Linked DNA regions of Lepisosteus oculatus. Each later gene encodes a partner of the first gene's protein in a complex. Links are inferred from orthologs where the notes say so. Each region holds a gene or a part of one and is shown in the gene's direction. Other genes may lie near its edges. The genes, in order: casc3 and rbm8a.

Region 1 (16,180 bases):
AATCGAGTTCTTCTTCGTGCCTGCCTGTAGCATAACGATACCTTTTGTACTTCTGTTCCGCTCCTAAGCTCCTACAGCCTGCTCCACACCTTGAGAGCCTTGTAAGGTATCTTGACAACCCCTGACTGTCTTCAGCAAGGTCTGGACTGCGCATCTTCCGAGTCCCATTGTGGGCTGGACTCGTTAATTGAGAGAGGAGCTGGAAACTGGGAAGAACGCTGGAGAGACTCAAGATGGGGGGGGGGGGGGTGCGTGTTTGTCTGTGGGGAGGGGGGTCCTGCCTCTGCAGGGGATGAACCCCGGCCCCGTGGCTGGGAGGGGGAGACGCAGGGAAGAGGGTACAGCTGACCGCTGTGGGGCTCTTTCGTTTCCACAGGGCGCAGAAGGAATTCCGGGCTTGTACAGAAGCAGCACGATTCACACGGGAGCCCTTAAGATCTTTTTTTTGGTTAAGCCGAGAACTGAAAAAAAACGGTTTAAACTCGTAACTGAGCTGCGTCTGTGAAGAGTGCACAGCTGCATCTCTCGGAGGAATAAACAGCACACCAGATCAAGTGCGCAAGTGTACACCGTTGTTTCAAGGTTAATATCCTGACTTTGTAAGGTTACATAGCTGAGATTCAGTGGTGTAAAATTGCTAAGGCCATTAATTGCTTGTGGCCCTTAAAGGTTTGGCCTGAGGAGCCCTTGTCTAGATCCCTGGTCACTAGTTTTTGGAGAGGAGCCCTGCTGATTCCCCTGTGCCTGGTTGGCACACAATCTCCTACAGTTCCCTGCGTCTGAGCATCTGAAGTGCAGTGTTCAGTGAAATATTACCCACCCAAGCCTATTAAGGGACTAGAAATAATAGTACTTATAGAATGTTGAATCGTACTTGAGCCATGTGCTGTTTGTTTCCCAGATACAGTTCTAACTGCATGGCCCTGGAATTCCAGAGATATGATCTTCCTGCCCCTTACCATGCTCCAGCTTTTAATGACTTGGTTTAATTGGTCTGGATCAGTCCTTAGCTGTTGAATTTGGGGTTTAAAACTAAATTCCAGACTGGATTACACAGTGGGTTTCTTAATTGGAGAAATGCAGTGCTTTTCACTGGGCCTATAAATCTCTATAGGGACTGTGCTTAGAATGAATTGGATGTCTTAAGGCTGTGTGACAAGAGTTCAGCAAAGAGGTGCTGGTATTTCATCCCCCGAGGAAGTTGAGCTGATTGTGAAAGGAGGGTTTTCATTTGAACTGTGACAGGAGCTCAGTCTGACACGATGCACGCAGCTGCCTGATTGGCTGATGGTGTCGTAATGCGCCTGGATGGCTGTGGTTCTCCTGGCTGCCGTGACACTAGGGGGCAGCAGCGCTGTCGCCCCGTTTCCTCTGTTCGAGTGTCGGCTATCCTGAGTCTCAGAACAGCTCCCTTCAAAGCCTGGGGGGACGGGACCGTCTTGTACACCCCCAGACCTACCGGGCAAAACCTGTGGGTTTATCTGCGTTTCTCTATGCACAATTAAGCCCCCCGGAAAAGACATCCTATCCAAATGGGTTGAATTAAGTAACTGGCGTCGGAGGTGGAATGAATACCAGGGGTCCCACTGCAGCTGGTGCCTGGACCTCCCGGGTGAACCTGGATGAACAGGCTGGCCCACCCTTTCCGAGGCTCATCGGCGTCCTCTCTTGACCAGGAGAAGGTAAAAACGTTTCGAGCTCAGCAAAGTCTTGGGGAGCTGTAGCCCGTTTGATTTGAGCTTCAAGTGGCTTCATTTGAAGGAGCTGCCATGTTTCCCCATTTCTCTGTTCACTGGAAATATAGGAATTTCCTAAGGCATTGGGATGGTGGTGGTCCAGCACTGGATCTCGCGGTTCAGGACCCCGGAGGTCCTTGTGTCCTCGCTGTCCCAAGCCCCCGCCGGTGTCCAGTGGGAGTTCCTCGGAGCGCTGCCCCTTGTTTCAAGCGCAGGAGTGGTGCTTTACCCTGATTGTTGAAAAGCATAAGAGACGCATGCTGTAAAAATAAACTGTACAAAGAGGAAAACTAGTCTAAAAGTGGGTTCATATAGCTGTTCCTCTGTCCCTCTGGAGGAGGGGAGAGGGGGTTTGCTCTGTTTTCCCTCTTTAAATGTTCATCTTCTGCATGTTCCTCAGTTGGAGGTATTTTAATCCCTTTGCTGTTTTTGTTAAAATTTTGGGGATTGTATTTCTTACCCTTTTTATTGTTAGTTTTACGTCCTGTCAGGTTCTGTGTAAAGATGCTCTTACAGCTGAGCTCTGTCCGCCTGGTCAGCTGGCCCTCGCGTCCAGTGCCCACAACCTGCCCACCCCTTGAGCTCCTTGCTTGTTAAACACTTGCAGTACAGAGCCAGGATCTGTGTGCTGTACATTGTGTGGGGTTGCACGTTTCCAGCAGCATTTGCTGTTAGTGAGGAGCACGACTGTGTCGATCTCTTATTTCGAGCTGGAATACCCTAGCTGTACATGATGAAAAACTTCTGCCCCCCTGGCCTCTCAGGTTAAGATTCCAGAGTCAGCTCCTCACATCCCTGACGCCTGTGTGATCCCAAGGCTACCTGGTCAGGTGATGACTGGTTTTCTTCAGGAATGCCGGAATACAAACAGAAATGCAAGACGAGACGCTGTCGGTGCTGCAGGGGGGCTGCGTCGCTTGCAGGGGTGTCCAGCTGACCGGCAGCGAGGTCAGAGGTCAGTGGGGTCCGTTTTGTTTTGGGCGGTTTGTGCCCTGTGTTTTTTTTCCCCGCTTCTTCTTCGCCTGCAGAATTGATCGCATCTCGCCAGTCCCCTCTGTGCTGGTCGTGCACGTTCAGGCGCAACACAACAAAAATGAGAGTATTTCTTTCAGCCTCGCCTCTGTCTTTCACCCCGTTTTTGTGTTGATGTTGGAATTCTGCTCTTCCCAGTTGTTGATCTCATGCCGTCCTCTCCCAGCCAGTTCCAAGGGTAAGCCTCATGGTGGGCCCCCGTGTGGAGCGGCTGGTCAAGGCACTTGTCTGAGCACGGGTTCGAGCCTGGGTCATGTCACTGACCCCCTGCTGAGGGTGGTGGTGGGGGCAGTTAGAACTCTCGCAGTGCTTGACAACACAGCGCCCCCTGTGGCCTCCTGGGCTCCCTGCAGGCAGGAGGAGGCATCAGGGAGGGGCGCTCCCCTCCTGTTGGGCCCTGGGCTACTGGTAGTGACTGGGCAAAAGGTGTAAAAAAAAAAATCTGATGGCCTCTTCCACTTTGGGAAGGAGTAACGAAAATAAGTGACGATTTACTATTAAAAAGCAAGCCTGCCATAGAATAGAACAAGGACCGTGATCAGCCTGTGCTTCAGACCTTGTTTGGAATGGGTTACGGAGGCTGGGATGTCGACCGGTTCCCTCGGCTCCTCGTGCGAGTTCCACGGCGCTGAGAAACCTGCCAGTCTCAGCCCTGTGTCGAGGCAGCCGTGATCAGAAGGCCCCGAGACGCGCGTCTCTTTCTCTCTGTGGTCGTCCCCGCTTCCTGTTGCGTCTCTGTCCTCTTCTGGTTCCGTTTCTCCTCCCCAGCGGGAGACGACAAAATCCCAAACTGTATATTTGACCGCCTCTGTACATAGCTTTCAGAAACACACACAAGGTGTAAATAAGCACGACGTGGCTGTTATTTTTATTTAAAGTTCAACTTCACTCTTGAGTGTTAACGTTCAGTATTGGTATTCTAAAAAAAAAAACATGCTTCAGTGTGAAAAAGTTGACAAAGTGGAATTGTTTTTCAATAAAATTCACAAACTCGAGTGAATGCCATGTTTTATTTGGAGGGGATGGGATATTTATGCTTTGCCTTCTCCCTCTCGGAGTTAGTAAAGGAACGGGCCACTGGTTGCACTGCATTTATTTTTGGTGTTTCTAAGAAATGGGACCTGGTTTCCCCCCAAATCGCCGTGAGATTCAGCTCTTTTGGTAGGAATCTTACACGTGTAACAGTGTGTTATAGAACAAGTAGAGGATAATTCCGCCCTTAAAAATGCAGTGTTTCGGGTGTGTCCTGTCAGGAGTCAGGCAACAGGATTAGGATATAGAGTGAAATCTGTACATGTCAAGTCTAGGCAAGTAAAAGCTCTTGGTAACACTTCATCTGGAATATGCTTATGTGTAAATAAAATGAAGACTGATAAAGCACATACTGCAGGTTTGCAAAGAGACTGTTCCACCCATCTAATGTTATTTGTTGGTAGCTAATTAAACTGAGGACCAAAGTCCAGCCATTTCTCAAAATAAAACAATGGGGCGTGCAGCTTGTTTCCTGCTTCTGCCACCCTTCATGTACAGAAGCCTCCTTATAAGTCGTCCAAGAGGGACTGCTTCAGGACCAGCAGTGAGAAAAGGACCCGAGGCCACAAGTGACAAAATGAAGGCAGTAGTGAATTGAGGATTGAAAACGGGAAGCCTGTCCTGTGTTAACAGGAAATAGTATAAATGATTCAGCAAATGGGGAAGGAGACATCCTGCTTTATTGATGCCATGCAGCCTTTCATCTCTTATTTTATGGATGGGTTTTTTTCCAGCATGAAAACTTTACACCTAAACTCAACAATCTGCACCTGATCGCGAGTTTCCGGAAAACCCTCGCGATTCCTGCGCAGAGCTCAGCAGTACCTAGTTCTTCCACCAGGTGGCAGGCGCCTACCGAAGTGGGGTCGAAGTGCTTCAGGCGCTTCTACCAGGTTATTGACCTGTTGACGTTTCTCATTGATCACTGTTGTTCATCTCTTCGAAAGACAAAGTCGAAGAACGCAGCCTGGTACATAAGTACCTTTTTAGTCGCAATAATCCCTCGAATTAATTAGAGAGACCGCGGTAGAGCCTCCTTGCTTTTGAAAGCACATCAACACGAGATTTCGAAGTCAGTACCCTGGGGGTTTGAAACTGGGCTCAGGTAAAATGACTACACCTTACTAACTGGAAAATGAAATCAACTTCATGCGAGAGATGTTTTTAAAAGATGAAATATGTTTCGGCAGCACAGCTGGGCAACTTGTTCTAGACTCACACAACTCTTTGTGTAAATTATATAACCAGCTGTAGGGGTTCTGTCGCGTAGTTTATTTTTTTTGTCATTTAGTTCGTGTTGCACTGCTGACTTTGAAGTACTCCACGTGGTGAACTAGTCAACGGTTTAAAAAAAAACCCCTATCATTTACTGCAAATCCGAAATAATTTAATACCCGACGGACAATCTGTAGTAGCAAACACTGCTTCAGTAAGTATTGCCTACACTTCCCATAAAGAGCTTTCGCGAGTCATGGCCGTGAGGGTTCATGGGAATTGTAGTGTTCCCGATGGCTTCGTTGCGCCTCCTCACGTGTGCTTGGCCTACGTTTCCCATAAGCCCTCGGGAGGCGCAAGTTTTCCCCTGTTCATTTCCCAAGATGGCGGACAGGCGGCGGCGGCGGAAGCGCGCGTCCCAGGACACCGAGGAAGAGGACGAGTCCGGTTCTGGCACCGAGAGCGGGAATTCGGGTCCAGCTGGAGGAAAGCCCCGGGCGAGGGCTCCCGAACCTGCGGTGCTGCCCAGCGTCCGGGTGCGGAAGAAGAGTGAGGACGAGTCGGAGTGTGTGAGTCTCTCGTCGCCGAACCCCCACCCCCCCCAACGCTTCTCGGCTTTGAGCTGGGGAGTTAAAAATGGGCTTCATCTGCTCGGCTCCTCTCAGGCCGCACGGCCTCGGGCTAGCGCTGCAGCAGCGCCCAGGAGGGAGGCCGTGGAGCCGCGGGTCCCTGCGGGGAGCCGGGCGGTCGGTGCGGGTTACACCGGGGCCGGGCGTTGAGCCCCACGGTCCGGCAGCTCCATACCGCTTGAGCAGCGGACGGTAGCCCCTGCCGACTGGAGGAAGCTACCAGCTGGATGCTGAGAGCAGATCGGAACCTCTCCCTTGTTGGTGGTCTGGGCTGGTGTGGGGAAAGGCAGGGGCGTGAATTCACCGTCCACTCGGTGCCCACGGACACGCGTCCTCTCCGCCCGGCCGCCCCGGAGCGCTTGTGGGGTTTGTACTCCAAGGGGTAGTGATGGGCTGTCTGGAGCAGATCGGATCCTCTGGAGCACAGAGCTCAAGGCCTGTGAATTTACAATCGCTTGACCAGGATTGTTTTATTTTCAGTTTCTTTTTGCCTATGGCACCCAGTTTCGTGAGCACGGGAGGTGCCGATGGGCTCCTCTATGTGAGCGGGGTCCTCAGAGCTGCTCTGCTGGGTGCCTAGTCTCCATACCTGAGCCACACGGGGCCAGAGCCCTTCTCTTCCCCCCAGTCTCCCTGGGCAGGAGAGAGCACGGGATCCCCCCACCGCCGACAGGACGCCAGTCCAGGGCAGGGGTCACCCCCAGCAGTGCTGCTCCCCACTTCACCAGCTGCTGGGGTACGACACCCCGCTCGGAGTACAACAGCAGCGTCTGCAGTGGAGACTCGAATCCCCAGGAGCTCAGACTGCTGCCCTCCGTGTCACACCTCCTGTGTCACAGCTGGCCGATGGCGGGGTCTCAAACGCAGTGGCCTGTTGACATCTGAAAACAGCGGGGTTGTGCAGAGACCTGCGCTTTATACACTGGTACCCCAAGTGCTCTTGGGTTCGTAAGTCTCTTAGCTTGACTCACAGAATCTTAAGACCCAAGAAATGCTTGATTCGTGAAAACATTTAACGCTAACGTTAAGCTGCTCTTAAGTCAGTGTTGAGATTCCAGAGTCCCTGACAGCCTGCAGGAGAGAGAGTTTTGGGGTCCAGGGGTGGGGATCACTAGCGGTGCTTTATTTCCACACCCTGCTAACGCACAGCAGCTCAGACGGGTTCTCGCCCCCCCCCCAGATCGAGCTTTAACAGCCGACGGTCGGGTTCTGCTGTGGCCCCTTTGCCCTCCTCCCTGCGTCCGAGCCTTCTGGCCCAGGAAACGTCTCCCCGGCACCAAGCTGGGGCTGCGGGAAAGAAACGCTAACCCATCGAGACCCTGTGGGCGGCGAGGTGGCTTGTGGCGTGCGAGTTACTGGCGTTGCTGGCGGCGTGTGTGATGTCCTGCGCCCCAGCAGAGATTTGAGAGTTGGGGAGCCCCAGTGAATCATCAAGTCTCCGAGTGTGTATGGTGCGATGCAAGTTGGGGGTCTTTCACCCCCCTTTTTTGCCGTCTGTTTCCATGAGTGGAATGTGCTGTGATGCCCCGGGTGTATATTGGGGGGCGGGGTCCGACCTGTTTCCCACATGTGCTGTCTGAGGTTGAGAGACGTGTTCTTCTAGGGCAAACCTTTCCCTAAAAATCCTAGGAAGCCTTTCTTTAGTTTCTTTCCTGGGAACGGTGGGCAGCTCCTGTACAGACTTCCTGGAAAATGGCGCTACTGGTGCTGTAGGCAGGGGCTACAGTCTGTGTGTCTGCTCAGCATGGTCGTTGCCTGAGCTCACACGTGTCCTGAATCTGTCACTATCAAGCTCTCACTGAGGGAGGAATGTGAAACTGAGGGAGGAATGTGAAACTGCTGTGCTTGAGTAACGTAAACAGCCTTTTCTGTTTCTAGTAGAATATTTTATCTTAAACAATACTGCCTTTCTGAAAATCTGGTAGAATAAATATTCAACAAACTTACCTGAAGAGAAATCATGAATATAGAGTGTTTTAAGCACACTAGTGCTATAGGAACAAATGGAACTGTGTTTTTTTTTTTAAGCTCATGTGCTTGACTCACAGTGATTTACGAAGTGTGTATCAAGAAAGAACAAGTAAAAATCATGAACACGTTTTTGAAATTCTTTTTGAAATAAGTCTGCTTTCTAGGGATCCTGGAAAATGTAGGAAGTGGTAACTCATTCCAAGGCATGGCATGGGTGTTGGAAAAGGAATTGTAGAATGTACACTGGGAAGGAAAATCCCTTCAGCTTTCTAATGGGGTTTATATGAACTGAATATCCAAGGATAATGTTTACTACAGGACTCCACTGTTGGATGGCCTAGTGTCCTTTTTTGTTCCAACCTGAGTAGTTAACCTTTCTTTTGGGTTTTTTCCTCAAACTATTGACTTCATTAAAAGATAGTTATTTATTAAACACGCCAGAGTCTGGGTTAGAAGTGTCACAATTATGAAATCAAATATTGGACCAGGTCTGTAACTGTGAGAAAATGAGCTGGGGTTCCCTTGCTAGAAAACTGTTAATTGCGGTTTAGCACTTACATTGCACTGCTGCTCTTATTATTACATCATTGAAAATAACGTGAGTCGGTTTTCTTGCGATAAGGTTTCCAACTAACACTTGTTTTTCTTCTCTCATCGTAATGCAGGAAAGCGAAGATGGAATAGGCGATGGTAAGCTGGTTTAAATTTCCTTTGTGACTCATTTTTAAATTGCGGTAAATGTCATTACTCTGGCTTCTTGCGAATGTGGCCCATTCGGTGTGTTGTGCAGTTAGTCAGCAGTCTCTGACCCTGCTTTTGCAGGTCTCCAGGCAAAGATCAGGTTAACTGAAGACAGGGGTTGATATATGCCTGCAAACTGGAGTAGGACTCTTATTAGGACTTCGGAAGAAATATGGACGGGGATGTGTTGAGGACAGTTAAGCTCTGGACAGGCCTTTAGCTCATATTGTTTATCGTCTAGTACAGTTTCTTGTGCTGTCCTGGGTTGGAGGCCTTACCTTTCAGTTAATATCTAGAGTCTAACATCTTGTGTACAACTGTAATTGTTCTTACTGGGGTTGTCACATGGGTGGGGCACTGTGTGTCATGAATGACTGCAGGGACCCCAGGCCCAGCCCTGAATGACATCGGTTCAGCAGCTTGTCCAGCTCTCTCTGATCATCATTTGTTAAATAGAGGGAAAGAGTTGCTGTTAAAGGCCTTGTCCATCCTTCAGGTGACTTAGTGAGACCATGACAAGACAGCCTGCTGCTTGCAGTCTTCCAGGTCTTATTTTATGCTGGGTTAGCAAATTGTATACTGAATGTTCTTGTTTTGTCCTCAGCAATCCTGTCAGATTATGAAAGTGCGGACCCAGAAGAGAACTGCTCACACTCTGAGGTTTGTTTCCTTCTGAGTTCTTTCAGATGCCTTTCTTCCTTTAGGAGAAAAACCATGCCCTTAAAGGAGCTTGGGATCCTTCAAGCTTTCAGAGGAGTGCAAGGAAAAGTAACTCCTCCTCACACGATTTGGCCTGGCCACGTGCCTTGAGGTTTCTGAGAAAAACTCGGATGTTTGTAACTGAAATTATAGCGTAGCTATGTCTGTAAATTGTAGGGGCTGTACATCCAGTGCCTACATGTCATTAAGAGCAGTCTTTTGTTTTAATGAAGTTTAGCCTCAGTCTCTGCTGACCTGTCATGTGTGTGGGTGTAATGTTCTCCTGTTTTACAACCTGTGCTGTTGTGATTGCATGTCAGTCACTCCACATGGCACAATATAGACTTGTTTATCATATTAATTAAGGGTTTCCACAAAGCACTGTAGGTATTTTCAGACTTTTCAGATAACACAGGGCCGAAACTCGACAAGCGTTTTCTGAATTGCTCCCCTTACCACCCCAGGCAGCGTCAGGCATGTGACGTGGTATCTTTGTTTTCCCAGCTATGGACTCCCAACTGTACAGAACGAAGAAACAAGCACCAACATACGTGCAAATGTTCCGATAAAGAAATTAAATTTACCGTATTAAAGTGCAAAGCCCTGGGACTGGCGCCCATGGGGTTTGGGGTGTTTACTCCAGCACTGCGCAGTGTGTTCAGGTGTCCGGGGTTTGTGTTGTATGGCTTGTGGTTGTCAGGAGTGTCCTAGCTAATTGTGAGTGTTTGAGGAGATGAGGAAGAAACGCTTTTGTGTTCTGTCTCCCCCATCTTCTCTCCCCACCCAGTGTGAGGAGGAGGAAGAGGCAGCAGGGTTCAGTGAAGAAGAGGGCTCCAAGCCCCCTGCCGAGCCCAAACCGTCAGAGGATGAGCAGGCTGGAGAGGAGGAGGAGGAGGAAGGAGGAGGGAGCAAAGAGGTGAAGTCAGAGGAGAAGGGGAACCTGGCTGGGGAGAGGCAGAGTGGGGATGGGCAGGTACTGTAGCTCTGTTGATCATCACTTTTATTTTCACCATTGCAGGGAAGCAGAAGTGTCCTACGTGTCTGAAACCAACAGTAATTTTGTTTTTATTGTACTTTTTTGTGTTGTATTTTAAACCCTTTGCTGGCATTCTGAAAAAAACAGTGCACACAAACTGCTCGTGTCCGTGTGCTTCTGAAATCCCCCCATTCCAGTCTTGGGAACAGGTGTCCTGTAATTAGAAGGATTGCACTCCCATTTAGTCTGCACGCGTGGTGTGGGGCCGCCGGCAGCCTGTTACATGTGCTTCTCTGTGCTGCGAGCTCTCGAATGCCCGGAGTGACCCCGTCTCCTCCTCTTCCTCCTTCCCTCTGTGCCAACTCCCCGCCTGTCCCGGCAGGAGAGCACGGACACCCTGGAGAACAAGTCCTCCGCCAAGCCCGGGAAGAAGCTGGACGATGATGAGGACCGCAAGAACCCCGCTTACATCCCGCGCAAGGGGCTGTTCTTCGAGCACGACGTCCGCGGGCAGGCCCAGGAGGACGACATCCGGTGAGGAGGAGCAGGGCCGCCGCCAAGGGGCTGCTGAGTGGTGGGGCGCGCTGTCGGCACCTCGACTCCAACCCTTTTTAAAGTCCGTCTCCTTCTGTCCCAAAGCCGCATCTTGCTCCTCAGGACTTTGTGAAGGAGCTCGGGTCTTTTCCCCTGCTTCTCTGTGTGCTGCTCTCTCTGAATCATCTCTTCCTGCTGGGGTCGCTTGGCGTCGTGACTCGGCGTTTCCCCTCCCTCTCACCTCTGTCCTGTTGTCCCCCACCCTGCAGGCCGAAGGGGCGTCACAGGAAGCTGTGGAAGGACGAGGGACGCTGGGAACACGACAAGTTCCGCGAGGACGAGCAGGCGCCGAAGTCCCGGGAGGAGCTGATCGCGCTGTACGGTTACGACATCCGCAACGCCAACGGGCCGGCGGACGGCCGGTCGAGCCGCTCGCGCAAGCCCAGGTACAGCCGTCGCGGGCCGGGGTTCGGGGATGGGCTCAGGGGGGTCTTTTTGGGTTATTTATATCATCTCGTTCTTGTATGAACGGACAAAGGTATGCTGAGCGCTGGGCCCGTATGAAGGTAATCGGAAATAATAACAAAAAAGTTGCCAGTCATCTCAAAACCTCCATTATTCCAAATATAAATGAGCGTGAAGTCTGTTTTTATCGCTCTTTTGCATTTTGACACAAGGTATAGTGCTGGGGAGAAAGGGTGAAGAAACAAATCACGAACTTCCAAAACCATCACGATGGGGAGTTTAGCTAATATACATAATCCACCTCTCCCAGTGTCTCCTCCTGCAGTCTTGGCCGAGTTGGCGGTCCCTTCTGTGACTCTTGAGCGCGGCGGAAGGGAAGACGGCCCCCCGGCTGGGGGGTGGTCCTGCCCGCCGGCCCGCGCTCCCCCTCTCCCACGTGCTGACCGCTGTCTGTCCTGCTGTTCCAGGTATGGCAGTCCTCCCAGCCGGGAGCGCCGCTGGAGAGACGGGGAGAAGCCGAGTCGGGCCTCCTGGCACGGAGCCGCCAACAGCGCCGGCCCGGCCCCGCCGTCGCAGCAGGGGGCCCCGGCCTCGCGGACGTTCGGCGGCAGGAGTTCGGCGGGGGGGCCGGGGCGCGTCTCGCACCCCCAGGCCCGCGGCTTCCAGAACAGCAGGCCCCCGCCCTCCTACAAGGAGGGGCGCGCGAACTACAAACCCCCCGACGACAGTAACCACCACGCCGGCGGCGGCTACAGCCGCGGGGGCCCCCCCGCGCCCCAGTACGCGGAGGGCGAGCCGGCGCACAGGCGGCGGGGGGAGGCCGAGCACGGCCCCTCGGGGGCGGCGGCGCCGGGGTCGCGCGGCGCGGAGGAGGAGGAGGAGGAGTACTACGTGAAGCCCGAGCGGGACTCGGCGGCGGACGCGGCGGCGGCGGCTCGGGACGCCTCGCCCCCGGCCCAGGCGGCGCCGGAAAGGACGGTGGAAAAGAAATCGTACTCGCTGGCGCGCAGGACTCGCACCCGGGCCGCCGAGCTGGGCAAGCAGGCCTCCCTGGAGGAGGCGGCGCCGCTGCAGCCGCCCGCGCCCGCGCCGGGCCCCCCCACCGCCGCGCCCGCGCAGCCCGGCCGGCCCGCCAGCCCCGCGCCCAAGCAGCCGCCCGCGCCGGGGGCCGGGCCCCACGGGCCGGTCAAGACGGAGAGCTGGGAGCCCCCGCTGGAAGGCAGCGGGCTGGACCAGGACCTGGCCCGGCTCAGCCTGAGCGGGCAGAACTGGGCGCACAGCCCGCCCTCCTACCTCCCCGGGGAAATGAGGGGTGAGCTTTCGGTTTTCTTTGCTCGCCATGGTGATGGGGGGAGGGGGGTACCCCCTGTTCACACTGGTGCTCGCCGGAGCCACGTGGCCCAGAGTTCACCCCCTTGTGTGTTATTGTTCGTCCTTTCTTAATAATAATAATAATAATAATAATGTTGCTTTATTGGCCCTATACAATTTCTTGCATTAGGAATTTGTCTTTGCGCAGACCCCAGCTTGCTCTCCATGAGACACAGACTGGGGGTCAGAGCGCAGGGTCAGCCATTTATACGGCGCCCCTGGAGCAGTTGGGGTTAAGGGCCTTGCTCAGGGGCCCAGCGGAGTAGGATTCCTCTGCCGGCTGTGGGATTTGAACCGGCAACCTTCCAGTCACAGGCTCAGATCCTGAGCCACAGAGCCACCACTCCCCTTAGTTGGGGGGGGGGGGGGGGGGGGTGTCCTGTAAACTCCCCCCCTAGATCTTGAGAGAGAGAGAGAGAGAGAGAGAGAGAGAGAGAGAGAGAGAGAGAGAACGGTTTTTCGGCTCCCCCGCAGTTCTGAGTGAACGCAGAGTTCAGGTGTGCGGCGCCTGTGGAGTGAGAGGTGCCCCATGACCTGTAGCCGTGGGTGGCTGTGGGGGATTACAAGAGCCACGCGCTTCTCCAGCTGAGTTAGTGGAGGATCAGGGCAGCAAACCTCTCTCGAGCCTGCTCTCTGCTTCTGCTTAGTCTGGGGGGGGTGCATGACCAGGCGCGTTGTAGCTCTTTTCATTTTTATATGATTAGATTTATATTTAGTTCTGTATTTAATAATTAGTTCCCTCCAGGCTCCTGGCCGTGCATCATGCTTTCTGTTTGTGAAGCTGTGGGGTCTCTTGAGTGAGATGAAGTGCTTCTGGGAACGGAATTCATTGCCCCAGTTTCCCTACCTTCCCAGAGGACTCCGCTGGTTTTTCTTCCAGATGAATCCATGACCCTTCTAGTAATATAAGTAATATTGTTGCCTTTTCGTCCTCCCAGTGTGCCCAGCAGAAGAGCTGTGACCAGAGACAGGCTCCAGTCCTGTGTACCTTTTACACTGGTGGACCTGATCAAATCCTTAAATGTGCAAGGACAAATTTGGCAATCCCCAAACGACCTTGATAATTAACCTCAAAGCCTGGTATTGAGAGAGTGGGTTCTCAAATTTGGACTTCGGTGAACTTGTTGTGTCCTTGCTGTTGTATTTGGTGTAGTTTGGATGTTTGTGACAGCTGGTCGCCTTACTGCCTGCTTGGGAAAAGTCTCCTAGTACTGCAGCCAAATGACAAAATTTACAGGCTAAATATTGAAAAGAGATTCAATTATCCCCCCTGTGGGGTCGGCTGTCTCTGGTTCTGTACTCCTCCTGAGTCCCATCGCAGGAGTGACTTTCTTCCCCCTTTGTTTTCCAGGGATTTCGAATCCGCTGCACATGGGTGGGGGTCCTCCCCAGTACAACAGGATGGAGGAGCTGGTGAGTCGTGTGTTGGTTTAGGTCCGGGAGAGGGGTCCTGCAGCAGGCCTGCTCCCGGAGGCTGGAAGAAACCTGGTCAAGAAAGAAATCTTTGTCTGCCAGGTTCCCCTTTGGACACCCGATCAGATTGTGGTTTCTGGTTATTTGTATCATGATCCACTGTTGAAAGCACGACTAATGCATCCACTTGAAGTGCTGCTGGGGCAGATGACCAGTGTGAGGGTTGATTTGCATGCTGCTGATCTCTAGGCGTCAAAGCTTCCTGATTTTTGTCCTGCAACCTGTCTCTGCCCCCAGGTGGGGACCCCCTGCTCCTCTCCGCAGGTTGCAGGAGTGTGGTGCCCCTTGTGGGACCCCCCTGCTCCTCTCCGCGGGGCTGCAGGAGTGGGGGGACCCCCCTGCTCCTCTCCGCGGGGCTGCAGGAGTGGGGGGGAGCCCCCTGCTCCTCTCCGCGGGGCTGCAGGAGTGTGGTGCCCTTTGTGGGACCCCCCTGCTCCTCTCCGCGGGGCTGCAGGAGTGGGGGGAGCCCCCTGCTCCTCTCCGCGGGGCTGCAGGAGTGGGGGGAGCCCCCTGCTCCTCTCCGCGGGGCTGCAGGAGTGTGCCGTCTGACCGGCTGTGTCTTCTCTCTCCCTGTCCAGGGGGTGAGCGCGGGCAGAGCCAAGCGGTACTCCTCCCAGAGGCAGAGGCCGGTCCCCGAGCCGGCGCCCATGCACATCGGCATCATGGAGGGCCACTACTACGACCCCAGTGAGTGCCGGTCTACAGCTTTCATTTGGCCCCCTCTGCTTCAAGTTCAAGTTTCAAGTTTATTGTCATTACACTCATATACATGGTATATGGTATAACGAAATACTATTTAGCTAGCTCTCGGACATAAGTAGTACGAAAAGGAAAGAAACAACAACAATACAATTGTGTAGCAAAAGAAAGAGAGACAACAGGCAGTGTGCAAAAAAACAACAACAGGCGATGTGCAAAATACAACAACAGGCAATGTGCAAAACATCAAAGCACAGGAGGGGTCTGAGGGTCCCATCAGCTGCTGGGGTGTCTTTTAAAAGAACCTCACAAACCTAGACAGAATGAATTCCCAAGTTTACAAATGACTTCTTGCACTTGAGCTGTTAGAATAATAAGCTGATAAGCGGTGGTTTTGAGCCTGAGGCTGTGTGTAGTTGTGGAATTGGTAAAGCTGTCACTCGGTTTGGTGTTGGGGGGTGGGGGTTATTTTGAGGAACTGCTGTACAGGCGCTCAGCCCGTAACGGGCCTGGTTCTGTTGGGGGGCCTCCCAGGTGCAAGTCGGCGCGTCTTCATGTCTTCTCCCTCCTGCCTCTGCCGCAGTGCCGTTCCAAGGACCAATCTACACTCACAGCGAGAGCCCCGCCCCCCTGCCTCCACAGGGCATGCTGGTCCAGCCTGAGATGCACCTCCCACACCCAGGTCTGTGTCCAGCAGCCCCCTGCTCTGCACTGACCGCTGGGCAGAGGGGACCGACCGTCTCTGTGAACTCTGACCTTTTCGGTTGCTACTAAGTCTATTCATTTGATGCTCTTTAAGGATCCTGTTTGCAGTTGTTTTGGATTTTGAGATTATACTGTGCTTTTAGCTGACGCATTTCATATGTTGTTCTTCCTCCTTCTCTGTAAGGCTGCTGTTTTGGTACAGGTCTTAATACCCATGATGCCGCACTGCCCCTTGCTTGACGTTTGTCCTTGACCCGGGGAGAGCTGCGCTCACTCCGGTTCCTTCTGTTCCTCTCGTAGGTCTGCACCCGCACCAGTCGGGCGCCCCCCTCCCGAACACGGCGCTGTACGCCGGGCCCCCCGTTTCCATGTCACCCGGGCAGCCCCCGCCACAGCAGCTGCTGGCCCCCACCTTCTACCCCCCACCGGGTGTCATGACCTTCAGCAACACCAACTTCCCCTACCCCGCCGGAGCCACGCTGCCACCCCTGTACCCCAACCCCCAGGTGAGGACACTTCTCCGGCCTGTGCTCCCCCCGGCTGGTTCTGCACCCACACTTCTGTTCACTGACCACACTATAATAATAATAATTGCTTACACTTATATAGCATTTTTCTGGACACTCCACTCAAAGCGCTATACAGGTAATGGGGATCCCCTCCACCACCACCAGTGTGCAGCCCCACCTGGATGATGCGATGGCAGCCATAGTGCGCCAGAACGCTGCCCACACACCAGCTCTCAGTGGGGAGGACAGCAGAGTGATGAAGCCAGTTCAGAGATGGGGATTATTAGGAGGCCATGATTGGTAAGGGCCAATGGGAAATTTGACCAGGACACCAGGGTTATACCCCTACTCTTTTCGAGAAACGCCCTGGGATTTTTAATGACCACAGAGAGT
Region 2 (15,611 bases), on another chromosome or scaffold:
CAAAGTAGAAGAGTCATGACTGCAAGATTATTCAAACCCTGTGCTGTGGTGATCTTAAATCCATTTATGTGCACAAAATTACCTTAACGATCCACAGACTAATTTGAGTCTGTCTGTCTGTGTGCAATGATGGTGGTTCACATGATTTCTGAATAAATACATCTATGTCCGTAAAGTTCTTTTAGTCAACTACTGAATTTCAAGCAAACATTCAACTACTGTATGAAGACAAAGGGACTTTCAAAACAACTTAAGGAGAAAGTTGTGTAAAGGATCCGAGAAGAATCTAAAACATTTCCTTTAACATCTCTTTGAGCACGGGGAGTGTGATCATTGAGAAGTGGAAGGCACTCATCTGATCCTCTATCTGAACCGCCAGACGAGGGGAAACAGATCAGGGACACAGCTGTGAGACCAGCGGTAACTTTGGAAGAGCCAAAGAGAGAGTTCAGCGACTGAAATCGGAGAAAACGGGAAAGTCAGCAATGTCCCTGTTTCTCCACAATGCTGGCCTCTCTGGAAGATGGGGGATATGCATCTATAATCCCACATGGAGTTTACAACAAGGATATAAGTGATACTGTGAACATGTGGAAAAAGGTTTTGTGGTCTGGCAAAAGAAATGGGGAACATTTTGGTCTAAATGCAAAGCATTACACAAACCCAATGTAGTGCATCTGTCGCAGAGAGACAAGAAGTGGGAGTAGAGCAGTAACTCAGGGGATATACTGTATAGACTTGGAGTAGAAATATAATGGCCAGTTTTTGTCTGCTGTTGTGGGTTTCATTTTTCTTTGTCTGCTTCCCTTATCTTTTAAAGTGCCAATCAACGAAGGAGAGGAACCACACACTGTTTGCCTAGACACCCGCTAACCACCCCAAAGTAAATGGTGACTGAAATGTGTATAACCACATCTTGGATATAAAGGGACATACCTGTACAGGAAGCTCTGGTATAAAGGGGGTTGGGACAATGCACTGTTATACCTGATCAACTGCAAAGAGTCCTGCTCGTTAATTAGCTCTCACTCATTAGTCCTGCCTACCCCCCTCCACACACCCCCTGATCACCTGCCCCTCATGTCAGTACTAGAGCTCTGGCCAGGAAGGGCACCCTAAGACTCAGAAGCCTCAGCCAGGAGGATGTGGGCACAGATTTTGCACCACTGGACACAGGAGAGGACACCGAGACCAGAGGGGGGACGCAGCAGAGGACAGGTCCCACACTGGCTTCTCCCCCTTCTTCTCCCTGTAATGGGACGTGTTGTCTGGGATTGGCGGATCTGCAGAAATATGCAGAGTTGCAGCTCTTCCCCTGGTGTGGAGGAAGGAGGCTCTCCCGAGTACTGGATGGAGCATGTTGGGGAGAGTAGTGCAGTGGTGTTTCATCTGGGACTTTTGATTTGGGTTCTAGGGACTGTGGTATTCTTATCTTGTTCTTATGTGTGTCCACTATCATTTGTGGGCCCGATTTTTAATGTAGTGATATATTGAGTGACCAAAAAAAATAAGAAAGCTCATGTCAGTCAAAATCCTGACTTGAATCCTCTTCTTGAAGACTGGACAATCTATGCCTGTAAGTGCAACTTGGTAGAGCAAATTCATGCAAATTCAACAAGAAGAATGAGCACAAATTATACCAAGCCAGTGTAAAAAGACAGTGTTTGTAGAGACTTACCCCAAAAAAGAACTGTGGCTTTATCCTTAGAAGTCTTCAGTTTGAGCATTCATGTTTTGAATAGATTATGAAGTTAAAAAACCGTGTAGCATCATTTTGTAATGCCACGAAATGGGACCCCCATAAGAAGGATCTGAAATCTTGGCCCTGTGACTGATTTGCATGTTTGATGTCTAAGGAAATGGAAAGCTGATTGAAAATGTGTGAGCATTTATGATCTCTTGTAGTCAAGAGTTCAAGGAACGGAGAGAAAAATAACCAAACAGTAAACCAACCTGTTTGCCTGAAGCCAGATTTAGCCAGAAGATTTAGTGCTGGTGTGATTCTGGGATTTAATCAGTTCTTTACACTAAGAGGCTCAAACCACAAAATTATAAAAGCTGATTCACTGGAATGGAATTGTTATGTACTCATCTGGTTCATTACCTTTGACCTGTTCTTTTCTTGGGAAGGTGTACAAACTCAGGTGTTTGAATTTCCAACCCTCAGTAATTTTCTTCTTGGTTGTTCTTCATCGGTTTAGTCAGATGATTAATTTAGGAACAATATCTCATCTGAGACAAACACATGGGCTTGTTTCCACAGACCAACTGATGGCTCCAGAGAAGTAACTGATTTGCTACCCTGTTCTGCACTCTTGAAGAGGCAAACTCACAGCTTCGTTGAACGTCCCTTCACAATTACTTTTCAAAAGGAGCTGCTCGGGGGGAAATCTAATGGCTTCAGAATGGAAATGCTTTATCTACATTCTATTTTTGAAACCACAACTGAGAAGCTAATGAAAGCCAACTAGCAGGGGTTGCTGGGTGGAAGAAAATAAGATTCATATTCGGTTAATTGCCAAAATCCAGAAGAACTGCATTTTGGGTCCATGGCTTTTGGTGTGTGGTCATGGATGAAAGGAAAGACAAAATGGGACCAAATGTGATTCTGAAAAATAAGGGATTAGTGAGTTTTAAGATCTTTAGCCAGACCCAAAAAGGAGAAGCCTGTAACATGTTCGTCTGACATCATATCTACTTGGTTTATTTTTTGCCTGGATTGCAATTTTACTTGCTTCTTAAATACTAGAGATATTCTTAAAAGAGTGACAGTACTTGATACAAACAGAGGTATTACATCCCCTAACAATGAACTGGAAACAGAAAGTTAGATAATTTCCTCATTAATTGGAGTGTTGAATTAAATGTTTACATTACACACACAGGTCTACTAATATTTTTAACACTTAAAGGATTTAATAGTCAAATACAAAATTCATGACAATCCCTATTAACTTTTCTTTCAGAGAGGGTACACAATTTTCTTTATGATCTGATTTACTGTAAATAATTAAAATAGTCATTCAAATCAACAGGAAGGACAGTTTATGGAAATGCCTAAAGATCTCATTCAGTTTACAATCAATTAGGCGTTAATGTATTTAGACAGAAAATCCAAAATGCTTCCCCTTCTAAACGAGCAGTATTGGCAGGAAATTTCTCAGCCTGATCAAGATCGACGAATCGCCTGACGTGTGGGGGAACTGCACTGCTCGAGTGGCTGGTGTGTACAGGTCATCAGGTGACGCCCACCGGACACCTGAGTTAGTGGCCGCAACCTTGGTTTCAGTGCAGTGCAGACTCATCACCTGGCCGGCAAGTGCACACCTTTTTCTGAGGTTACAGTGATTTAGATTCTGTTAGGAGGGCGTTATTAGCTCTCTGATTAACGCTGTGGTGCTCAATATCTAAATAGGTGGGGAAGAGATCTCCTCTGATTCGTCTGCATCAGAGGGTGGATCAATTTTGCCATGCCTGTACAGCCTGTGCTGCAGAAGGTTAGAGGGGTAGTCTGTCTGCTTTTAATTCAGCCCTTCTGGGTAATATTCCCGTCCTGGGTTCTCAAGAAGATCTACAGTATGTGTCTGTCATAGGTCCTCTCTTTGATAACTAGAGATAACTAGGACTGTCTGCGTTACTGTTAATGTTACATTACTTCAGTGCATATGTGTTGTGTTGTTTTCCTGTGCTGTACTGGAGGAAGGCTTAGCTGCTCACCACAGAGCTAGGTTACCGGTGTGGGTGTGGGCTTGTTCTGCCTTTTTAAATTGTCTGAAAGGGGATTGCTTTGGCTTCTGCTGGCAGCCCAAGGGAGGGGCCTTTTGAGAACCCTAATCAATTGTTTCTATTTCTGTTCTGATTGTCTCACAAGTGTTAGACTGTGTACAAGACCAGAACATTCTCTCTTATGGTATGGCATGCCTTTCAACGAGTCTCCAGCTTATTTTAAATACTCAAATTCTAATGTAATTTTCTTGCCTGTGAAGGGTTTAAATTCTTGATCCGTACAGCTTGTTCAGCAAAACATTAAATGTATTTACTGTTGATAAGAGCGAGGGCCTGCACACACAAAGAAGGCTTGTTTTAAGAATCCCAAAGAATTGTTTTTGTGTAGAAGGCCAATTGTAACTACCTGCTTTTAGAAAACACTGATATAGCTCAGTTACGTAGACATCTTATGATTAAAGTAGAATTTTGCTTAACCAATAGAAATTAAGACTGAAGTTTTTTTTTTCTTGTTGAGACTTAAGCTCTTTGTCTTCCTTATCAAGTAAGTGTACAAAAGGTCAGCTGTACCTTTTCTTGTTAAACTCATCCTCCTACTGTAATTGCAGGGAGGGTGCTTCTCTTCAGCTGAATACACAGTAAACTCCTCTTCTGCTTGAGGAAAAGGTTTCCAGTGGATTTGTACTCTACACCTGGAATTAACATGGTTTGAACAGTCCTTATAAACGTTAGTGGTCACAATATTTGTCGTGCAGAAATGAAGCAGATATTGCCATGATACATTAATTCCACCTGAGGCATTAGATTTAGCTAATTCATAAAAATTGTTAATAAACCATGAGATTCACAAATTCTGTTATGTTGTGTAGTGTCAAAAAAATGACAAAGTTCAGGTGCCTGTGAAGCAGAAGTCTCTTTATTCATATGCATTTGGAAGTCTGGCTTGCAACCACCAGACTTAAAAAATAAGTAGCTGAAGATGGTCCTTTATACCTTAAAACAAAAAGAGTTACTATGACACATTCTAAACAAATGATGAAAAAGCAACACCTGCCAATTAATTATATCTAAGTTGCAGACTAGACAACAGTTAGTTCTTTTCATATTATGGGCGTACAGCCATCTTACCAAATACATGCCCCTTATCTTACTGACCAAGGACAGGCAGCATCTTTATATACATTTGAGCACAAAGCCTACGTCAAGCCACTAAACTGCATAGTTTGCAAAAAACATACAAAAACACAAAAATGATATGAATTATCTCACTTCCCGGGCATCTCTCTTATCTCTTCATTCTTCAGTTGTAACTCTCAGTTTACGGTTCTAGACGAGGGGGTTGATGAGGAAGAGGTGCATTTTTGAAAACTACTATCTTTAATAAAAAAAATCTTGTTTGCTTCGGTTTATACTACACTTTACTATTTGTCCCATAATACTCTATGTATTTACCAAAACTGTAAATCTATAGATCTAAGATTACATTACAGATACAGTAGATCTCAGATTAGATAACAACCTAATTATTGGCACCAACATGAACACTGTTGTAAAATCTGCTCTTGATATGCAGTGCAGACAGCTGGGAACTGAGTTCACAAAATCTACACGCTACATCCTCTGCTTTCATCTGATCTACAGTAGTTGAGCTTGACAGTTGATAAATACTTACCACCTCTGCCAGAAATGTTATGTTTAACCCTACATAGGTCTTTCTCTAGGACTGATGTTTGATCATATTCATATCTCTGTTCTCTCAACTGAAGGATGTTAGTAATCATCTAACATCATAATGCAGTAACCACACTTTTTTGCCAACATCCCAACAGAACAGAAAATGCTACTTCACCAATACTCAGTTGCAGAATTAAGCATTTCATCATCCACTTCAATCCAAAATGTATTGATTCCTTACTTTAATAGTGCATTTTACAGGGTGTGATAAAGGTTTTATTAGAAAGACTAACACTTTGTCCAACTCCAATCATAATAAATCCATATTGAGCAAAATTAAAGACTTAGAAACTATTTAAGCTTTCCTTGAGCACTCTAGAAAAGGCACTTTCTTTCTGAGGAAGTATGGAACGCCAGCTGGAAATTACAGAAAGACCACGATGGCTTAATCAGCCAGGATGCGGTTTCTTGTTCAAAGAGCTAAATAGCAGTATTAGATTTTATCATTCAAAATCTTGAAGCTTTAAGGCAATGCAATAATTGAAATCTCAAACACAAATTTCACTGTGAATTCTGTTCTTTTTAACCAGTTAGTTTAAAGTCTTAAGCTGGTCTCTCAGAAAGTTACTTTAGAACATTATTTAGTAAATACAGTAACTGCAATGTCAGGACTTGTTGGCTTCTGCCACACAAATCCTGTATCCCAGCACATTCGTCTCTTCCAGAACTGATCACTGCAGTGCTCTGCTCGCTGGGCCTCCTGCTCCCCATCTCGCAACCTTCATCCGTCTGGCTCTGGTCTGCTCAAACTTGTTGAAACTGGGGGTGACAGGCCTTCTCCTGCTGCGCCCCAGAGCTCTGGAGCTCTATACCCAAGGATACCAGAGTCACATTCTCTGCATTCTGCATTTCAGTTAAAAATCCTTGATTTGCCAGCAGCCATATCACCCTGCAACTCACAACTGGCAGCCCACTGAAGCTAAGCAGGTGTGAGCCTGCTCAGTACCTGGATGGGAGACCTCCTGGGAAAAACTAAGGTTGCTGCTGGAAGAGGTGTTAGTGGGGCCAGCAGGGGGCGCTCACCCTGTAGTCCACGTGGGTCCTAATGCCCCAGTATAGTGATGGGGACACTATACTGTAAACAGGTGCCGTCCTTCGGATGAGACGTAAAACCGAGGTCCTGACTCTCTGTGGTCATTAAAAATCCCAGGGCGTTTCTCGAAAAGAGTAGGGGTGTAACCCCGGCGTCCTGGCCAAATTTCCCATTGGCCTTAACCAATCATGGCCTCCTAATAATCCCCATCTATGAATTGGCTTCATCACTCTCTGCTCTCCTCCCCACTAATAGCTGATGTGTGGTGAGCGTTCTGGCGCACTATGGCTGCCGTCGCATCATCCAGGTGGGGCTGCACACTGGTGGTGGTGGATGGGAGACCCCATTACCTGTAAAGCGCTTTGAGTGGAGTGTCCAGAAAAGCGCTATATAAGTGTAAGTGTAAGCAATTATTATTATTATTATTATTAAGTTTTGCCAATTTTGTCACGTCTTCTCCTTGTAAACTTTTTTTTTACTGTAAAGTTCTTTGGGAAGTTAATTTTAAAGGTGCCATGTAATTAAGGTTTTTATTATTATTATTATTATTATTATTATTAAACCCTTGTGTGAGAAAAGGCAAAAATGATCCTTTTAAATTACTTTTAAGTTGGTATTTTTTAATTTCATAACTTATATGCGTGATAAAACATTTTTAATCTTCACTTATAAAAATAAACACATTTAAACCAACGGCACACCGTCTTTTGTTCCGTCGACGTTTGACCTCACGCGTGGGGTTAACAGACCTCCTCAAAATGGCCGCAGACTCGCCTCTCCGCGATTTCTTCCGTTGGCGGTTAAAGAAGGTGACGCGTTTCCGGTCTCGCACGTCTTTCCACACACGGCAGAGAAGATGGCGGACGTCCTGGACTTACATGAAGCTGGCGGCGAGGATTTTCCTATGGATGAGGATGGTGATGGTAAAATTTAATATACCTTTCCGCGGACCACAGAGTAGTTTAAAATAAGAGCAGTCGGTTCGTCTTTTTTTCTTAGGTATAGCCCGCTGTAAACGTTATTTTTCGGCAAAAGATAGTTCAGCAGTGTACAAATGAGCCACACTGTTTGTCTGGATCTGGTTTGGTTTGAATGTAATTTTGTAGTTATTCGCTTATGGGTGACCGGGGGTGCAACTATATTTATTAACGGCCCTTATAATCATTTTTGTTCGCGGTTTTGCTGTATCTCTGCCCTCCCTTATTTCCTACACACGCAGTGTAATTTTCGCTGTCGGCTTGTAGGGCGGTCTATAAGCTCTGCTTGGGTTCTGTGGAGGTGCTGAGGTTCAGCCATTGCGGCTGTTAAAATATTTACCTTTGCTCATCGTCCAGAGCGGAATACGCTTGCCAGGCCGCAGGGAGGCGGGCGTGGGAGCCGCAGGGGAGGCCCGGGTTTGACTCGGGCCTGGGCGCCATCGGGGTGCAGGGTCTTGTTTAACAGGGTCTGCCATCTGGGGTCCGACTCGGACCCCGTCTTTCCCACACGGTTCACCCACAGTCCTCTGATCAAACTGGATTCCATTAACGATGCAGAATTGCTGATGCCGCGGGGGGAGAGGGGGGTGGGGATTGCTGTAACCACGATCAATACAGCCGATCGGCGTCGTGAAGAAGGGTTAACGATGAGGGGATCACTTGTTCTGTGTTGTTCCAGAGAATAACTGTCCGAGAATGTAACGTTGGCTATTTGGTATAGAATTAAATTATATAGAATAAAATCATCTGCTTTTTAGTTGAACCAGTTGTGTGCATGGTATGCTATGATAGCACTGTTGCTGTTGTCTTTGTCCATGTCAGTTTACAATCAGAGAAGCTTAAAAAGATACAGTCTTGAATGGGCAAAGTGTGTCATTCCCAATTAGATCAAATAAATCATAGCATATCAGAATCGACAATGACCATATCAAATTCAACAGTAGCACAATGGGAACACACTTTGTGCTAGCCTCAAAAAGTAACATTTTGTCAATGAATGGAGAGCAAAAAGACATCTTCTGTTTTGACCTCTTTATAGATGTGTTCAACGCGGGAAAAACTAATGCCCACTGTACTGTCTTCTTTTTCAGAAAGCATCCATAAGTTAAAGGAAAAGGCAAAGAAGAGAAAAGGCAGAGGGTTCGGATCAGGTGAGTCCGTGTTGTGGAAGCATGTTGGCAGCTGTACAGATGGATTTCTAGGCTGAGCTGGAAATGAGAGCTTCTGGCTGTTTTGTCATTGGTGATTAAATGAGTAACCTGGAGAAGTTACTTTTAAAGGTGCTGTATAACAAAGTAGGGCTGGGCGATATGGCCAAAAACATTATCTCAATCAAAATTTTCATATCAGTCGATATAGATAATTATCACGATGAATCTCAAATAATTATTTCTTTCAAGTTTAAAGGCAGATTTTTTCTCCTGAGTGAAAGTTGAAGGAACAGTTAATTGGAAAATTAAACGACTCTTTATTTTATGAACACAACAAACACTTGCCAAACAGCAGAAACATTAAACAGATGAATAGAGAGTATTCAAGTCTTTTTTATGTAAAAATATACATGAGTAAAATGTACAAAATAAATATCTTAATAGAAAAATTAAATACTGCAGTGTGATAAAACACACATAGAAGATGGTTCAGACAGACTGCAAAGTTTAAAGTGCTCTGTTTTATGTCTGATCGTAAAAAGCCAAAAAATCTCCAAATTACTGAAGTTGAATGACCTTTTCTGTCGACGATGTCATCGTCCTTCGAGCTGGTCATTAGCAGCACTACATTTGCTTCAGTGTCGCTCATTTCTCCACTCTAACTACAATCCTGTCAGCCACCACCGTGTGGATAAACAGCACGTTAGCAGCCCGGTCTGCAACACGCATGCGCAAAGCATAAACATATATATCGAACATTTATCAAACTTTTGTTAAAATTATATCGAGGAAAATTATATCGCGATAATTATCGTTATCGAGTTATCGCCCAGCCCTATAACAAAGTTCATTATTATCAGGGGAAAATGTTGATGTGGAAAATAAATATGTTCTTGAACTTTAAGTTCACTATTAGCCAGTGAAATACAGCCTGGAATTTTGTTTTTCATGATTTTCCAATGGAATACAATCTTGAGGTGTCCACCTTGACCATTGCTACTAGATCTCTAGGTCTTAACAGGCTTATTGAGGAGCTAAAGAGAACAAGAAAACCCGGAGGGCCTGGGACATGTAGGACCGGACTGGAGCCTCCTTCTTGTTTGATCACACGGCTCCAGCACATTGAAGCATGTTTAGCAACAATCCCAGCTCCTAATGAAGGTGTACAGGAATGATTGTATTTGGAGCACCCGTTTTGCAGGAAAAGCTGGTGGTTGTGGCAGTCGATCTGACAAGCAATTCAGCTCTCTTGTAGATATTCAGATTCATATATTTTTGTACAATTGTAGATCTAAATTAAGACCTCTAAAAAAGAGACCTTTACAAATTTGATGTGCCAATTGCTTCTTTTTATAAAAGTGTATTGCCAAGATGGATGGTGATTATGTTGCCATACTGCATTAAATACATGGAAAATAAAGATTACAACTGCTAAATGCCTGTTTTCAGCAAGTCGGGTGCATTACTAACATAAGTTTAATTGTTTTACTAGTTTTCTATCAAAATGACTGCTCATTAGGCTTTTTTAATTACTGAAGTACAGTCTTTATCTATTCTTCAAGCATATGGAGTGTAGGAGCGATAAACTGAGTCCTGTATCATGCTTTTCCATCTTGCTAGGAATTTTTTCTCACTGCATTAATTGTAGTTAATTAATTAATTGTACACTAGCCTAATGTAATGATTTGATGTCCCGACTTTGATTGGGGTTCAGTTTGAGAGCTGTGTTACTGTTGGTGTACTTTTCCACAGAGGAGGGGGCGCGGTCCCGGGTGCGAGAGGACTATGATACAGTCGAGCAGGATGGTGATGAACCAGGACCTCAGAGATGTAAGTACAGAGGGTGTCCCCAGTACTGTGCAAGATCAGAAGCATTAAAGACGAGAGGATGTCAGGCTCATCTTCTAGTTTGGTATCTAGTAAATAGGTGGTTCATCTGAAGCCCATATCCAAGCGTTTCTTGAAGGGTCTCATGGAATTGGCTTTAACAGCACTGCTGAGGGGTTTGTTCAGACCTCTATCGCCCTTTGAATGAAGAGGTCGTTTCAAAGTATAACAGCTTTGAACTGATTAAATGTTAACTACACGCTTCTTCCTGTACTGAAAAGGTGTAACAGTGTTCCTCTGTTTACAGCTGTCGAAGGCTGGATCCTGTTTGTGACAGGAGTCCATGAAGAAGCCACAGAAGAGGACATCCATGACAAATTTGCAGAGTTTGGAGAAATCAAGAACTTGCACTTGAATTTGGACCGAAGGACGGGCTACCTTAAGGTAACCAACCTCACTTTTTTTTCTATAAGCCTAGCTCGAGGGGACATTTTTCCTTTTTCCAGGTTTTTGATTCAACCACCAACTGTCTAGTTGCATAACATGCCTTAATGTGAAATGTCCCCTTCATTTTACCATGTTTCTTGAGTTTGAGGCAGGTACTGAAGAAATTTAAAGTGAGGTCCTGTTTGAGGTTTAGTGTCCCTACTTTTAGATGTGATGTCTTTTGTCATTTGGGGCATTTTAATTCTTCATAACGTTAAACAACATCAGTACTGAAAAACATGATCTGTTCCTAAACTGTGCAGTATATAACAGGGCAGATTTGGGTCATCGTCCTTTGTGAGCTTTAAACAGCCAGTCTTGATTTCAGTGATAAAATAAATACTGAATGCTTTTTTTGAGCAAACGGTCACTAGTCTCATAAGTTAGATGGCACTCAAACATACTTGGAATAAGTTTAGAATATTGTTTATTTATTTTGTGCGTGGTATAATTCAGCTTATTCCACAGGACATATACCTTGCTGGAGGTTTTGTAAGTGTTTAAGCTCCTTATGTGGAGCTCAGTATTCATTTCTTCATTGATTTGAAAGTATGATTAACCATGAGCTGTATTAATATCCAAACCAAATGGGAAGAATTGCTTTATTCTGTCTTAATCGTGAAACTATTTTTCTGACGTTCAAAAATCTTTGATGCATAGTTTCTTCATTTTAAGTGCTCACGTTTTTGCACTGTAGTACTTTGATCCAGTGTTAATGTGAATTTTTAAACGTTTGTGGTAATTTTTCACTAATAGTCTCTTTAGAAAAGTAAAATAGTTTAGCATTTTTACAGGCTGGGGATGTGGTATCTCATCTCCCGTGTCGTGTGAAACGAAGGTCGTCCTTATCAGAAGTATTTTGTTTATTGGGTGGCCTTCACCAATTTCTACCCTGCTTAGGGTTTCTTACAGCACAAGCAAACATGTTCGGTATTGTTTACCAAGTGGTATTTGAAGAAGAAACTGGGGCATACGGCGGCGATGGGGTGTAATCAAATGGGATTTCCATTCTCTTGCAGGGCTACGCCTTGGTGGAGTATGAAACCTACAAAGAGGCTCAGGCAGCCATGGAAGGGCTGAACAGTCAGGACCTGATGGGCCAGCCCATCAGCGTGGACTGGGCCTTCGTCCGGGGCCCACCGAAGAGCAAGAGGAGGTCAGTGTCTCCGCGGGCTGGCTCCCACCCGTGTGGGCCGCAGGGCATCGCATCAGAACTCGTAGTGGTGATGTGGCGAATAGACCAGAGCAGGAAAGCTTTAACCAGGGAATACCTGACTTGGGGATCCACACGAGGGTTACTGCTCGTCCTAATTGATATCAATGACTTATTATAGTACTGCGAGTAAACTAGGTAGGTTTGTAGTGTCACATCGACAGGATACTCCTCCTCCTACCACAAAGGACATTCAACATTATTTTGATGGATTTCAAAATGGGTAGTTATCTGTCAGAGATTTAATGTAGTCAAGTGTTAGATGCAGACAAAACCGTGAGATACAAATAGAGAATAGGAAAGGTTGAGCTTGAAGAAGCAACTTGTGGTTGTGGGAGAAAAAGGTAGTAGAATTGGGGAATTCAGTGTTAAGACTTTGACTAAATTGGAAAAAAAAAATCAATATTGTTTTAATACAGATGTTTTAAGACTTATTTATTACTAAGACCTTATTACTAAATAAGTTTTAAAATGTAATAAAAACTTTTTTCATTATGCTGACAAATCTCTTCTTATTATAGAAATGATCTGGTGTGGGATTGGTATTAGTATTGATTTTTAAACAGTATGCAGCAAAATATAGCAGTGTTGTAACTTTCTTTTTATATAGTTTAGGCAGTGTTCTTATGTCACTTCATTAAATTTTCAACAAAGATTGCAGTTAATGTGATTCTTTCAGAAAGCATTTTATTTTTAAGTGTGCTTATCACTCTCCTTACTGTATCTCTGCTACTTCATTACTCTGGTACAGTTTGCACTGACAACGAGAGGAGGAACAACCAGATCTGCCTTTTAATCTTATAGCTTTTTAGTACAAGTAGGTTATCATGCAGCTTTTGGAACAAAATCTGAGGAAGGATTAATTTTCAGAGTTTTATTTAACTATATAATGTTTAGAAGTGGCTCTAATTTAAGGCGTTGACTACATAGCACAGTAAGTGGTATGTTACTCATAGAGAAAAGCAGGACCTGCTGGTGAAATGCTCATTACAGAATATAGTTTTGGTTTCTGTTTTTGTTTTTTTAAGTTCACTAAGGAAACTAAAGAAGAATGATGTGGCACGGTGCCGATTTTGCATAAACAGTAGCTTCATTGCCTTGTGTTGGTTAGGTGTTGGTGATTATTACAAATTGTGCTTTTGCCTTTGAGCTATTGTTATGAGCTATTGTTACAAAATCCCAGTAGCACTTTTTGTCCTGTCGATGCCGACTGGAAGCATGACAGTAGTTAATAGGTTTATATTGGTTCTTATAATTCTAAATAATAAATTTGTAGTTCTTAAGTAGTCCTTTTAAATATTCAGCACAGAAAGGAGGTTTTAAATCCAAGCTGTGCCAAGTTAGAGACCTGTATTCCCCTACGTTAACTAGCACAGCTGACTTAATACTGAATCTTCATTGTTTCAACAAGACCTGCTTCACATGATGAACTCTGAACCTGTTCCAGATCTCATACTCTTGTCCTCGGGGGCCGCATGGCCTCAGAGTCACATTGAACCTCGACTCTGTGACATCGCTGACCTAATTTTCCCCAGTGGTTCTTGGTCTAATGCACATCAGAGTTGCACAACATCAAAGGGGAACTGCAGTCCCAATTTCGCCGACTGGTTATTAAATCTCGGTAACACGATGAATTCATTAGAAAAAGCTTGCAAATTTCAAATTAAGCACAGAATCGTGATTTTTGTGAAAGTACCAGTAACCCCCTGGTCTCCGAGAGCGAGAGTTCCCATGAATTGACGTGATGTGGCCCTTTCTGCTCACTAGTCACTGTCAGGACTAATGCAATGTGAGGTACGAGCGAATAAGTACAGGTTCTGCAGCAGACAGTTTCCTGCAGAAATGTTCCAACGTGATCTGCAGGCAGAGTTAACGAGAGTATTTGTCGGCAAAAACCATCTCGGAAGTTGAGAGCAATATTTTCGCTGGATTAAAATATGTATTGCCAAGCCTGCTTGATTACAAGGTAATAGGGCTGCTTCATCTAATCCGATGTTTTGTTGCCTCATTCTGAATTGCAGAATATTGCACGGCGCGTCCCTGGAAATGTCTTATTTTTCAATATAAATTGGAGGCTACACAAGTGACTGTGCACATTTTAATTTAATTGTGGCCTGAAATGCACTTATCAATACTGTTTTTTTTATACCTGAAATATAAAAATAGTGTTGCGGTTCCTCTCTAAACGGGTACAAAATTGACAGATGGCAAAGCTTTAGTGGCTTTGGGTTTTGAGAAATGAAATTAGTGTCGATAAGAAACAAATTAGTGGCTGAGCCATCGGGATAAATGCATAGTTAATCCTATTAGGACCCTGAGGTTTAGATTTTACCCCCCCTTCTTGTTTAGACAAGGGCTTTGTTTAGACAAGGAGGGGGGGGCTTACTCTGCTCCCTGTCACCCTGGCCAGCAGGACTGCATTGCCTGATATTTTACTTGCAGGCTGTCAGTCAGGTTGTCTGTCATTGGTCCTCACTCTGTAGAAGCAGCTGAAAGGAATCCAGTTAGAGTCAGTGTGGTGCTAAAAAGTAATTCTGTGTTACTTTCATGGTGTTCAGTTGCAGCACAGAACTGGAATGTTTTTTGTCTTTTCTCACAGGGGTGGAAGGAGAAGAAGCAGAAGTCCTGACAGGAGACGGCGCTGAGTGACAGTTTTACCCCCACTTTCCTTAGTTTTCCTTCTTCGTTTTACGTTGGTTTTGGTATATTAAATGTCCTACTTAACCTTTTATGGGTTTTTGTATTTTTTATGCAGGAGAATGCTCCCGGTAGTCTGTGTGCGCGAAGTGGTGGAAATCGGAATTAAAAGCTGAAGTTTATTTGTAACTTGTTGTGCAGCAGTTTTAATCTCATCCTTACTGTGTGTGGATGGCGAGTGGAGGTGTTAATTAGGTGATGTGTGAATACAAGAGGCTACAATTTGTACAAAATGCAGTAGCTACATCACATGCATCTAGTTTCCTCAACGTGCCACTGATGACTGTCCCCTCGCTGATTACTAGTGACTTCCAGTGCATCAAGGAGAGCATGCTTTGCCAACTTGGATCAAAGAGGGAACAGCTTTTATTCCTCTCTTCATGTCTGCCATCTGTGAGAAATCTTAAATGGGGGTGGTGTTACAATAAGGAATTGGGACTGGGCTACAAATATTTCCCATCTAATTTTTTACTGCCTTAACTAAGGTTGAAATGAGGGTTGTGTTCGTAGTGTGTGAACTGAAGCATCTTAGTTTTCGGTCAGGATCGATATTGAAAATTGTTCTGCCAATGGATGGGAATGCCTTCTGACTTTGACATTGCCTGTGTCCGAGAGTGTGGTCATTCATTAGACTGGGGGTTTCTGATATTCTGGTAGTATTTGCTATTTTTAAATCAGTACATTGAGACTTTTATTTTGACGTTTTTAAGCGCATTCATTTTCAATGAAAGCTGAAGAACTGTTGTATACATTTTTCCAAAATGCTT

Evidence for each region.
Region 2: casc3 (region 1) and rbm8a share a complex: the UniProt entries of both Homo sapiens proteins name them as parts of the mRNA splicing-dependent exon junction complex. The link is inferred for Lepisosteus oculatus from reciprocal best matches to the Homo sapiens genes CASC3 and RBM8A.

What each region holds. Positions count from the first base shown.
Region 1 is NC_090723.1:9,610,701-9,626,880, forward strand, and holds the start of casc3 (protein CASC3), read left to right. Parts: upstream 1-5,273; 5' UTR 5,274-5,287; coding exon 5,288-5,584; intron 5,585-8,280; coding exon 8,281-8,305; intron 8,306-8,960; coding exon 8,961-9,016; intron 9,017-9,842; coding exon 9,843-10,028; intron 10,029-10,413; coding exon 10,414-10,565; intron 10,566-10,834; coding exon 10,835-11,011; intron 11,012-11,497; coding exon 11,498-12,342; intron 12,343-13,752; coding exon 13,753-13,814; intron 13,815-14,452; coding exon 14,453-14,561; intron 14,562-15,156; coding exon 15,157-15,255; intron 15,256-15,578; coding exon 15,579-15,784; intron 15,785-16,180. UniProt on the Homo sapiens protein: Required for pre-mRNA splicing as component of the spliceosome. Core component of the splicing-dependent multiprotein exon junction complex (EJC) deposited at splice junctions on mRNAs.
Region 2 is NC_090722.1:2,285,573-2,301,183, forward strand, and holds the start of rbm8a (RNA-binding protein 8A), read left to right. Parts: upstream 1-7,310; 5' UTR 7,311-7,349; coding exon 7,350-7,416; intron 7,417-8,561; coding exon 8,562-8,621; intron 8,622-10,373; coding exon 10,374-10,451; intron 10,452-10,755; coding exon 10,756-10,892; intron 10,893-11,953; coding exon 11,954-12,090; intron 12,091-14,746; coding exon 14,747-14,792; 3' UTR 14,793-15,611.